3 linked regions of the Danio rerio genome follow. The main gene of each other region encodes a partner of the protein of the gene in region 2 in a complex. Links are inferred from orthologs where the notes say so. Each region holds a gene or a part of one and is shown on either strand. Other genes may lie near its edges. The genes, in order: xab2, prpf19 and ppie.

Region 1 (4,389 bases), on a different chromosome or scaffold from region 2:
CTGTTAAACATCATTTGAGAAATATTTATTAAAAAAAAAAAAAAACATATTCCCAGGAGCGCTAATAATTTTGACTTCAACAGTAATCGTTTTAAATAATCGTGATCACAATTATGACCAAAATAATCGTAATTATGATTTTTCCGAAAATCGAGCAGCCCTACTTTTCACCTACTTTTTTTTAATACTATGAATTTGGACATATTACTCGGCTCACATACTGTTTTTAGCGAACTATATAGTAGGTAAGTAAGCGATTTCAGCCACAGATCTAGTCTTATGCCATAAAACATGTGCATCACTCTTTATTCAAAAATATGTAAATATAGCACATTTTACAACTAACAGAAACCCTGTGTAAGAATTAAGAGATCAACTTTACCTTATGCATAAACACAAGCGCTCTCTCGTGACAGTTGTTCACCTCCTCGTATCCAGGATCCGTGATGCACTTTCCTTTCACCTGTTTTCTCCTCTCTCTCAGGTAGTTGTACCACAATTTGTAACTGCAAGAAACCATGTAGATATTTAGGATTTAAAGCACACAGGTTTCAGTGTAAAAGGAAATGACATGATGACATGTACGCACCTGCCAGGCAACTCCTTTAAAGCTCTTTCATAGATCATGTTGAGCACAGATTTCTGTGCACTTTGCTTGTGCTCAATGTAACGCATCCAGCACTTGACTGAATATGGATTCCTGATGATTTCTTCCTCATAAGGCAAATCATCATCTTCCTGCAAAACAAACATGCCTCTGTGATTAAGATTCACGAACACTGATGAAAGCTAGCTCCAACGTTAGATTATTGAGTTAGTGAGTAACATTTATAGAGGTAAAGTTGTTTTTTAATAGCACATTCGTACAGTGAAAGTGACATGCTCCCTTACCCTGCTACTTTAAATATTAGGTCTGAGATCACCTGCAAGTAAGACTTGAAAACAACATTAGAGCTATTTCTTTCACTGTGAACAGTGTTGTAATTTGACAGTCATGGGTTGCTAATATGATTTTGCTTTATAATCTGCACATTATACTTTTTAAAGTTATATTATTTATATTTTATTACAGCTTTTCTCAGTGGCTTTGGTGCATTTCTCACAACACTATTTACATTTGCACAACAAGTAATGCATTTCTCAAAACAATTAGTCATTTGTGCACATCCTAGTAGCAGTTTCTCATTCCCTCCAACAAATTGCAAATGCTTTTGAACATGCATCAATTGCTTTCATACAATGCTCTGCTGTTTATAACATTATTATTTGTTTATGTCAGTCAAAATTAACTAAACTTGTGAATTCTGAATAGTCATTCCATATTAAACTAATAGTCCTCATTTCATCACTTGAGTCATTACATACACAAATGTTGAACTAGCTGTCAAAATCTGTCGAGCAAATTTTGTAAAAAATGTAAAATCTTTTTTTTTCCTGAAAATGTCTTATAAATTGAACAATTTCATGACTGATTTACAGACCTGTGTATGTTGCAGGTAAATATGTTGTGCAATATTGTTTACAGTTGTGCACAGCTCTATCCAAAGGAAGTTTATGTTTGTTGTAAATAAGGGTGTATTTATTCTTTTGCACAATGCTTTGAATAAATTAGAATGGCAAAGAGCAAATGCAGTAAAAATGTGAAACATACATATTCAGTGTCTTGTACTCAGATAGCTCACTAAATGCAGTGTTGTCTAACTTTACTGGTTTTCAAATGGCTGTGCAAATAGTATATACTGCTGTCTTGAGCATTTACAGAAAGTGTCACCAAATTCTGCCTATTTAGCATTGAAAAAAATTAATAATTCATAATGAAAACAAGACAAAGCCATTTGACTATATTGTTCATAAACAATGGTGTCAAGACTTCTCATTTTGATGATACTGACACTTTCATTGACGTGAATACTTGCTTTTGAGGAATGAACTATCCATTTTGAGCAAGTGACACGCTTTTGCAGGTTATCTTAGGTTTTGCAGTTTGTACTAATTGTTTTGAGATGTGTATTAACTGGTGTTCAAATGTAAATAGTGTTGTGAGAAATGCACCAAAGCTACTGAGGAAAAACTGTAAGGAGAAAGTCAGAATGTGCGAATATAGACAATTTTGAGTGACGTAAACGATAACAGTTGGTTCTAATTTTCATAGCTTTCAAGAAGGTTTACATATTAATAAATAATGTTATGATAGCTGTTTTAACATTAAGTTATGATTGAATTGCCTCCTGTTACAGCTATGAAATAGTTTGACAACAGGAAATGTTCATGGGCCAATGATGTCGCCTCATTGAAAACAAAAACTTTACCTCAATGTAACATTTAGGTGAAAGAAACAGAAATATTTAGTACAGGTTTTTAAAATGTTAATTTTAAATGTTATTTTCTGACACTTAGTAACTGACTAAACAATGATAATAACTTAAAATTAAAGTAAACCTATGCTAACTACTGTTATTCACTTTAAATAAATTATTATTATATGTGAGAGGTGAATTAATGCACAGGACACAACAATTCATTTTGACAGGTAATAATCATATGTGGAATTTATTAGTATTATTAAAAATACTTGTGTGTATCTTATTCAGCTGTAGTTAGCGAGCTAATCACAGCTAGCTACGAAAAGATTGAGAACACTAACAAAACTGACTTTAAAAATAGCTCAGATACATACGAATAAAACGTCCGCCTTTCCGCTTAGCGATGGCATTTTCCCTTGCCTGAATATATCCTCGTTATAAAACTAGAAACTTGTGTTATTGTCAAAAAATACAAACACTTTCCCAACGTGTGGGGATCGTAGAGCACAATAGCCCCGCCTTTTCTGAGTGTACTCGATTCCTATTGGCTGACTTCTCCCATTGCACTACGGTGGCTCAGGAGGCTTTTCTGTTAAAGAGGTGTTTCTCGGTCTGAAGGCGTTTTAATGGAAGAAACCCTGAATAAACGATTTTGGGAGGCAAGAATCGTTTGTTAATCTAAAGAATTAGTCCACTGAGATAGTTTTTGTTGAAGCATCTTTTATGAAAGCAGTTGTGAAATATAAGTACTCGTAATTGTATTGAATGTAAAATCGTGCATACATCAAATACTAAAGGGGTAGTTCACCTAAAAATCCAAAGTAACTCACTTGCGTCCTTAGAAGTTCAGACTTGGAAGAACGAACACCCGAGGACGCAAGTCGGGTACTTCTTCAAATATAACAGCAGTGTACTCTATAACATCACTTACCTAACCATGGATTCATCGGTTTCACTGTACATCAAAAATAAAATGACTAAATTACATGAAGCACGGCCCAGTAATTAATAATATATTAATATTATAAATCTACATTTTTGATTTAAGAAAATGTAAACATACATTATATAAATGTGAAGTAAAATGTGGTTTTATACTTAGACACGTGTCTTTGATTATCATATTTAATGGACATTATACAAGTATAAAGTACAAGACGTACACAATAAGAAATAAATATAACGCTAAGCAATTTGGTAAACAAAGACAAACAGTGTACAACACAGTAACGATTAAAGGGTCATGACTCCTTTCGGTTCAGGTCTGCCTCAGAATTTTTCCAAAAATGCATCATAATGGGCGTGGAGCTCCGCGATCAGAGGCAGGAATGGGCGTGGCCAGCAGAGCAGGGGAGAAAGAGGGGAGCGAACAACTGTTGTCAGTTGGCTCACAAAATGAGACACAAACCTTGAGAAGACTAATGATTTTATAGTTTACAAAGTTAAAATGCAAACAAATAAACAGTAATTTAATACCCTGCTACATTTGTCATTTGTAATTTAAAATACACAACCACAATTTATATTATTGTAAAGATAATCGTGTTATATAAACACTTTGAGGTGAGGACTTTTCCATAAATCCCCAGGTCTGAATGCAGACTCAGTGCAGCAGGTCTCTTGCCCTGCCTATTTCAATCATTAGCCCTGCTGGTAATCTGGATGGATTTAGGCAAAAACAGTAGCACGGCGATGTGTCTAAATGTGAACAAACTTCTGATAAAAGACGACATCCGCCATTCTCCAGTTCTCGTACTGCTCTCCTGACAAAAATGCTTACTGCACACAAACAACTTTGCTGTATCGGCCCTGACAGCATCACGGGGAAAAACATGCAACAAACCCCATGGATCATCGAAACAAACACATACGGCCCTTCATGAACAGCTAAATACTGTGTGCCGTGGGTCAGTGGAAGCTGTTTAACCCAGTCATCAAGGTAGGATCTCACAGCTTGGCACTGGCAGATCTGTCTTGCCTTCGGAAAGCATGTGCAGTCATGAATAATTAAGAAGCAGGCTCTTGTCATTGGATAAAAAAACTTCAGTATAAATAATAATGAGAAACCGACGGATCATCACTCCAC
Region 2 (3,654 bases):
TACCAGGACATATGGAAAGAGAGAATTTTGAATTTATTGCCATATCAGCTTTTATGGCTATATCATGGCAAAAAAAGATCAGGTTTACCACATTTTAAAAAATAATACTTTTCTATAATTATAAAAATATTCTAACAATTAAAAGTCATCGAAAGCAATAAATACAGAAGATAAAAATACAAAGTAATAATGAGAATACATAAGATAAAAATCTAAAACTTTTTTTTAAGGATTTAGTTTTGATGAAAATTTAACAATTTTAAAATTAAATACTACATTTCAAGTCCCTCCAGACAATAATTGTTGTCGGATAACAATAAAAATAGGGCATTGCACAAGAATATTTTTAACAGCTTGGTTTCTGTTGCAATATAGACATTTTAGGGGTTTTTCTCCTTTAGCAAGTGTTCAGTGCGAGTTTTTTTGTGTCCGGAACGTCATCTTCTGCATACAATCTCATCATTTCTTGAGTTTTAAAAAAAAAATTGGATTTTGATCCTATTTCAGGCTGGATTTCATAGTTTATTTTTTGAGCACTAATCCTACCATAATGGTATAAAATCAGCTTAAATAAACATAATGGATTTTTTTAATGAGCCTAATATATTGACCTCTGAAAAAAACTAAACCTTTTTTAACAATAAATGTACCAAATGTAGCACTTTTTAGAAGCGGTTTTCTTATGATATAGAAAAAAAACATCCAGCTTATATAACCTTTGTGGACATCAGGCCTACACAACATATGTTAAACAAAAATATGCACGCATACACACTGTGTAAAATTGGATACTCACAGCATGGGATCCCACTTGGCGATACTTGCTGAGATCTTCTGCTCTGACCAGCTCTTCTGGCACGGTCTTTCCTCTCTGAAAAACAAACACGTAAAAGGTTACAGACATTGAAAAGCACATCAAATAACAGTGACCACAAACTGCTAATTAAACGTTTACCTTCTTTCTCTCGGTGGTCAGAACAGTGGCCTTGTCTTGAAGCTGTAATGTAAGAAAAAGTCTTTGAATCCCTTTGTACATGTGTGAGCAATGAGAACACTGCTGAATATACTTGTGGATTCACAAACCTTCTGTATGATCTCCGGAGTCATTCCAACCTGTTCACTGACCTCCATGGCCTCACCACCAGCACCCTATGAAAACAGAAAATTATATATTTAACTCCATTGTACTATGGCTATGAGGGGGTTGAATTATTTTACATTTAAAATTGAACATAAAACCATAAAATAAATAAATATCGGATTCACAATTCATCTCAGAATTAATTCTCAACTTTTGAAATAAATTCCTGCATTATATGAAATAACTTTTTTTTCCTGCATCTTTCATTTTGAAAGAGATTATAATCTAAAAGTATTTTTTTTTCAGAATCTTGAGAAATTTTTTTTTAATATATATATTAGAGGTTGCACTGACTAGTCGACTAATCAACTAGTTGACTTTAATGCTCTGCCGTGATGCTTTTTGATAAACTTCGACTAGTCTCACTGTGCAGATCACGTTGTTTGACCAGAACTACATGCAGCTTTACACACTAAGGTGGAACCACGAGTGCACGGATGTTGTCACTGAATGAAACTGCCCTCCGATTATTTAAAATACATTTTTTTAACTGTATTTTTTATGTCAGCGTCAAAGATTCACGTGAACTTGTATTGAACTTTAAATCGGTGCCAGTTAGGTTTAAGCAACCCTGAAAAGTAATGTGATTGTCTGCTGCCCTCTACAAACCTGTGAAAAAATGTGAAGTGCACAGCCGCAAAGGTGTGATAAACTTCACAGCTTGTGTAGGTGTAAACATCATCAACATTGGTGAACCTGGTGAAGATGTACAGCAAGCAGACTTCTGTAACTAAAATGAGCCAGTGACCACAAAAAACGCCTGACTTAAGCAGGATTTTGAGCAGCTTTCTAGTGCGCATGATCATAGCGATAAAATATAAAATACATTAAATATAATGTAATATTTATAAAATATGAGTCTGATTAGGACTCCGACAGTGTAATATGGCTTAATGTTATAGCCTGTCCTTTCTGCGTTATGTATAACGTCACATGAATCTGTGTGCTGCATTATTTCTGCACAAAAATATCTGTTATTGTTACATTCTTACTAGAATGTGCAGTGATCAATGTGTTAACTGCATTTATTTCGCAGTAAAATTTAGTCCGGGTGCTAATGTTACATTAATAACGAAAGAGTCGACAGTGTATTTGTTTTGCACTAAAATGGTGTCATTGGTGTAATGTTGCATTGTTCTTGCAACGCGTTATGAGCGTTCCAACAGCATGGAAACATATTCTGTCCTGCAAATAAATCGCAAATTGTGGCATGTTGCAAAACATTTGCATCTTATGTTTTTTTTTGATGACGCTAAAAGCTACTAGTTGACTCAACTTTGATAATATAAAAGTCGACTTTCAAAAATCTAAAATCGTCAACCTCTTTTTTACATTTAATGAAATTCAATAAAAATGGTAAGGCAGTTACCAAAAACATTTAAACACTTTATAAATATCACATTTCTAAAATAATAAAAAAGCAAAAAAATAACAATCTAAAACCGTTTTTTAAGGTTTACTCTTGCTACAAAATTTTACCTTAAAAATTATTATAATTGCTGTCTAATAACATTAAAAATAGTGGCCATTTCTATTTGAAAAACCTCAAAGTACCTATGGTTCATGAGTGAATTAAGATTTTTTTTTTCACGCTACATTATGAATATCTAAAGAAATTACTGACCACAGCAGCGGGCTGAGAAGCAGGAGCGGCCTGTGGAGCGACCAGTCCAGCCTGGGGTTTGAGGGTAGCCAAAGCTGCAAGCAGAACAATGTGTCAGTGATGGCACAATTCCAGTCAACATCTCATCCTGAAAGCAATCATGCCACTCTTACCTTCTCTGGCAGCAGTGACCTCTTTTGTAAGACGAGCAATGACTCTGCAGGCTGCATCATGCTGGTAGAGAGCATGAGAAAGCTCTTGTCGTGTTGTCTGCAACTGCTGCCTCAGTGTAAAACTGTGCAGCATCACGGCGTCCTGAAAGAGAGAGAGAGAGAAAAAAACTGTGTTAATCTAAAATATAATCATTCTTTTATAACAATCACCAAATATTAAATGGAAAAGTTTTTCATACGTTGAATGATGCATGTATAATTGCACATATTGCACACAGAATAAGCAGGCTTTGTTGAATTATTTCATAAATAACTGGACGTATCATTCTAAAATCCCAGTGAAGTGGTACAGGATTATTTTGTTTCTCCAGTCTATGGTACAGACTCTGCCAGATGGTTTGTTTTGGGAACAGGTAGGCATTTTTACTGCTTGTAGATTTTGATGCACGAAGATATATCATATAAGTATCTAAAAGTGCAAGGGAGATTCTTTGCATTTGTAGTGCGCACGCCAAAAGATCAAATTCATGTTAAACTTTTGACTAAAATGTATATACACTCGATCAATTTAACATTTATATAAACAATATCTTCAGATAAGGTACATGATTGTATCAAATCCTGATGTTACATCTGAATGTGTCATTTTTACATCATCCCAAAAGGCAATTAGGCCTAAAATCAATATCTCGATTTGATTCAACATTTTAACTTGGTTGCGATTAATGAACAATTAT
Region 3 (4,360 bases), on a different chromosome or scaffold from region 2:
GTGGTATTTTGATGCCACATGTGACAGTCATGCACAGTGTCAAGCCATACTAAATTTCTAACCGGCCAAAGAAATGCGCTATAGGTGAATTGAATAAACTAAATTGACTGTAGTGTATAAGTGTGAATGAGTGTTTTCCAGCACTGGGTTGCAGCTGGAAGGGCATCCACTGCGTAAAACATATGCTGGATAAGTTGGGGGTTCATTCACCTGTGGCGACCCCTAATTAATAATGGGGCGAAGCTGAAGAGAAAATTAATGAATGAAAAGCTGTTTTTACCTTATTTTGTGAATATGACGCTTATGTCTCTGATGCTCACACAGTGTGATGTACTCTGAAATACAAATGTGCAAAATAATCATTAAGTCGTCAAAAACAATATTTAAACAAATTTAGTAGAGAGCTTGTCAAATTACAAGTTGAGAAGAAGAGGTCCGCATTAGGAGCAAGTGATGATCTATCTGTCCATTACTGCTCCCGAGTTAGGCATAAATGGGCATTAAATGCTAATTCAATAGTTTACATGTGTCTGTTGCCTCATTACAAACATAAACAGCAAAGTGAATATAATTTACACTAAACCAACAAAAGATACAGTTCAACAGCAGATTAAACATATTCTATTTTTCCTGAATTTTATGTTTAGACAAGCTGTAAATAGATACTATCTAAAGCAGGTCGCACACCAGAAACTGCTCAGTGCCACGCATTTCAGAATTCTAAACAGAAGTTTCTATCAGGGTCTGTAGCGATCAAATATTCCTGAGGTAACTGTCAGTGTTATTCTCTGATTTGCTTATTTTTCTGTTTTTTTTTTTTTTTTTTACCCTGGATTTACATGAGAATGAGGTGTTTGAGGCTCACACAGTATGTTATTTCCATGCATTAAACTTATTATTAGGCCTATTCAATTATGCATATGTATATCCAGATTTTCTTTCAATGGCAACTTTAGTAATATCACAATAGAAACTTTATAAATCATGATAGTACTATTTAATTAACTGATTCACAAAAATGCAGTACCTTTGCGTTAAATATTGGACTGCTTTTCATGCCAATTCACAATAGTGATTAAATAATTAAACTCTTTTTTTATTTGTGATAGAAATGTACGTGTTGCATTAGTACAAGCAGAAAGCACAATTTAAAAATGTATATTTTAATTACAACTATGCACAAATATACATAACTGATATGTACATCACATTCAACCTATTTGCATTCATTAGTCTGTTTAAAAGACGGTTGTTAGAAGTGTGGGCAGCACAAATACAGGGAGAACATTCAAACTCCAAACTGACCCAGCTAAGGCTCAAACCAGCGACCTTTTTTCTCCACTGTGGCGCCCCCGAAGTACATAATGAATCCAGAGTGTCAAAATGTCAATCAGATTTTACTCCAGTTCACCAGAGGGCGACATACCAAACCTCAGTGGTGAAGAACACAGCCTGAAGTCAAAGGTTACACGCAAGATGGCGGCCAGCAAACGTGTTCTTTATGTTGGTAAGAAAACATAAAATTTATTAATTTAACTAACAAACGTTTTGCTCGTTCAGTTGGCTAGTTTAATCCTCTAGCCTCGTACATTTTTATCGACGCAGTACACGTTTTTAGTTGTATCCGGGAAAGCAGCAATTCATGAAATATGAGCAAGAGTTGAGCGCTCAGTCCGTTTAAAGTGACATATCGCACTAAGTGAAACGTTATTATTATTTTCTAGGTGGTCTTGCAGAGGAGGTGGATGAGAAAGTGCTGCACGCTGCGTTTATTCCTTTCGGTGACATTACAGATATTCAGATCCCGTTAGATTATGAGACAGGTGACAAATACACAGAAGTTACATTTACTTTACAACTTTACCATGTGAACGTACGACCGATTTTTACTACCACTTTAACATCCTGTCTTTACCAACAGAGAAACACAGAGGCTTTGCTTTTATCGAGTTCGAGCTGGCAGAGGTGAATATCATATACATCTACACTGAATTAAGTTAAAATAACGCGAAATGTGCATCATCAAAGTGACATTAACTTTGATGCTTTTTATGATTCACTTATTCAAACAGTGTTGCTACTTTATACACTGTACTGTTGTTTCTCTGCATTAGAAGCTTTGGTATCAATTTGTCACTTAATTAAAGTTCTGTCTTTTCCCCTCTAGGATTCAGCAGCTGCTATTGATAACATGGTGAGTTCATCGAATTTGAATTTACTGAATTCTGTGGATTTATAAAGTTCAACACTATCAGGATGTGCAGAGTGGAGGTTTTTATGCATTTGGTAATGTGTTTTTCAGAACGAGTCTGAGCTGTTTGGCAGAACCATCAGGGTGAACATCGCCAAACCCATGAGAATTAAAGAGGGCTCCTCTCGCCCAGGTGATGGAAAATTGATTGTGGTTGATTTTTCTGTTTAATGTCTTGACACATACTCACTGCCAACTTCTGATTTGTACTTTATAAATATATGCTGTTTACACCCATACCTAAAGCTGAGTTCATAAGAATATATATAAACAAAACTAAGCTAAAAGGTATTGATGCTGTAAACAAAAACATCAGAAAACATCTGTTACAATGATATAGCTCATTAAAATGTAGTTTGCTTTCAAATTTTCAGTTAAATTACATATAAGTTTGAATTATAAAAAGCAGGCTCTTTAGTGTTTTTGTCTTTACTCGTAGCAGTATGTGTTATTACTATTATTATACAGTTATTATTCTAAATAACAAATCAATCCTAAAAATGACTGGAAAACATGCAACAACTTGAGTGATATGCTAAGATGAAATGCTAAGATAACATCATCTTGTGTGCTTTCACCATCGTTGTTTCGGTTGAACAGAGAATAACAAACTTGCACGTGCAAAAGATGTCAAAAGTGAATGGCCCCTAACACCTTTATTCTGGGATTGCCACTCTAAATTAATACACTTGCATAAAGTAAATTATGCTGTTCTGCCTATAGTGTGGTCTGACGATGACTGGCTGAAGAAGTTCTCGGGGAAGAAAGCAGAGGAGAGTGAAGAGGCCGAGTCAGCTGCAGAATCAGCAAGTACAGAGACACAAGAGGTCCGAAAGTTACAGTATTGGTTTATTTATTTATTTTTTGGATGGTAAATAAAATAATAGTAATAACTTAACATTGTCATTTTGATTTTACTGTTTATATATGTATTTTTTTCAAAGTCTAATGCTCCATTTTAAATTAGTTTTATCATTATTACTCTATGATTAAGGTTGTCTGCGGGGTCTTAAAGTATTAAAAGTTGGTAAATTAATGTAGAGAAATTTAAGGCCCTTAAAAGTTATTAAATATTCTTAATTGCTGTTTTGCAAGGTATTACATTTTTTAATAATAATATATTTTATATTATTGTTGATTATGCAATGTATGGTTGTATGCCAAAGTTTGCCTGAATTAAATCTGCAAATATCAGGATGCTGTGTAGTTTATGAAATCCTACTAGATTTGACATCATGCAATTTTGTTTACTGCAGTAACCAAGACAACACCATTATTTCTGCAATTCTATTGGCGTCAATCTGCTGTATTAGATAAAATTAATTTTTATTCAGTATATGAATAGTGTTTTAGTTTTAGATTAGTTTCTTACATTAATATTCAGTAAATATTCTATAAGTTAAAATCTCGCCAGTGTTTCCAGTTGAAACCTAAAGTGGTTTCAAGGCCTTAAAATGTATTGAAAGAGTCTTAAAAAGGTCTTAAAAGGTGTTGAATTGCCCTCTGATGCCTGTAAATACTCTCTGATTGGCATTTTATGTTCCTGAACAGGGAGAACCTCCAGCAAAAAAAGGCAGAACCAATCCTCAAGTCTATATGGATATCAAGATTGGCAACAAACCTGCAGGCCGACTGCGCTTCCTTCTGCGAGCTGATGTTGTGCCTATGACTGCAGGTCAGACATATTTAACCATCTCCTGCGTGTGCTTAAAGTCAGCATGGAATAAAAATTCACCAAATTTTTTATATGTATATATTCATGGTGAACCTATTCTAGCTAAAGTAAAAATGCTAGAAAGTTGTCCATGGTGATTCATATAATGCAAATCTATTTATAAATGCAATGCCTTGAGAGCAGCAACAGCACTTACAAATCAACATAATGACATCTACTTTGCCTGTATAATAGAAATATAAAAATAATATATATATATATATATATATATATATATATATATATATATATATATATATATATATATATACACACATGATATTTTTTTAACTGACATTTTATGAATCATTAAGGACCACCATTTTAGTTGTCATCTGTGATGACCAAAGAGGGAGGAAAATAACAGCATTATCCTTTTAAACTCGGTCCTACTT

What was found.
Region 1: prpf19 (region 2) and xab2 share a complex: the UniProt entries of both Homo sapiens proteins name them as parts of the XAB2 complex. The link is inferred for Danio rerio from reciprocal best matches to the Homo sapiens genes PRPF19 and XAB2.
Region 3: prpf19 (region 2) and ppie share a complex: the UniProt entries of both Homo sapiens proteins name them as parts of the XAB2 complex. The link is inferred for Danio rerio from reciprocal best matches to the Homo sapiens genes PRPF19 and PPIE.

Annotation. Positions count from the first base shown.
Region 1 is NC_133178.1:55,853,977-55,858,365, reverse strand, and holds the start of xab2 (pre-mRNA-splicing factor SYF1), read right to left. Parts: upstream 2,818-4,389; 5' UTR 2,714-2,817; coding exon 2,678-2,713; intron 739-2,677; coding exon 590-738; intron 507-589; coding exon 383-506; intron 1-382. UniProt on the Homo sapiens protein: Involved in pre-mRNA splicing as component of the spliceosome. Involved in transcription-coupled repair (TCR), transcription and pre-mRNA splicing.
Region 2 is NC_133189.1:18,665,259-18,668,912, reverse strand, and holds part of prpf19 (pre-mRNA-processing factor 19), read right to left. Parts: intron 3,060-3,654; coding exon 2,918-3,059; intron 2,840-2,917; coding exon 2,766-2,839; intron 1,150-2,765; coding exon 1,084-1,149; intron 998-1,083; coding exon 956-997; intron 872-955; coding exon 797-871; intron 1-796. UniProt on the Homo sapiens protein: Ubiquitin-protein ligase which is a core component of several complexes mainly involved pre-mRNA splicing and DNA repair. Required for pre-mRNA splicing as component of the spliceosome.
Region 3 is NC_133192.1:26,693,097-26,697,456, reverse strand, and holds the start of ppie (peptidyl-prolyl cis-trans isomerase E), read left to right. Parts: upstream 1-1,460; 5' UTR 1,461-1,476; coding exon 1,477-1,507; intron 1,508-1,724; coding exon 1,725-1,823; intron 1,824-1,921; coding exon 1,922-1,965; intron 1,966-2,167; coding exon 2,168-2,194; intron 2,195-2,302; coding exon 2,303-2,384; intron 2,385-2,974; coding exon 2,975-3,078; intron 3,079-3,802; coding exon 3,803-3,926; intron 3,927-4,360. UniProt on the Homo sapiens protein: Involved in pre-mRNA splicing as component of the spliceosome. Combines RNA-binding and PPIase activities.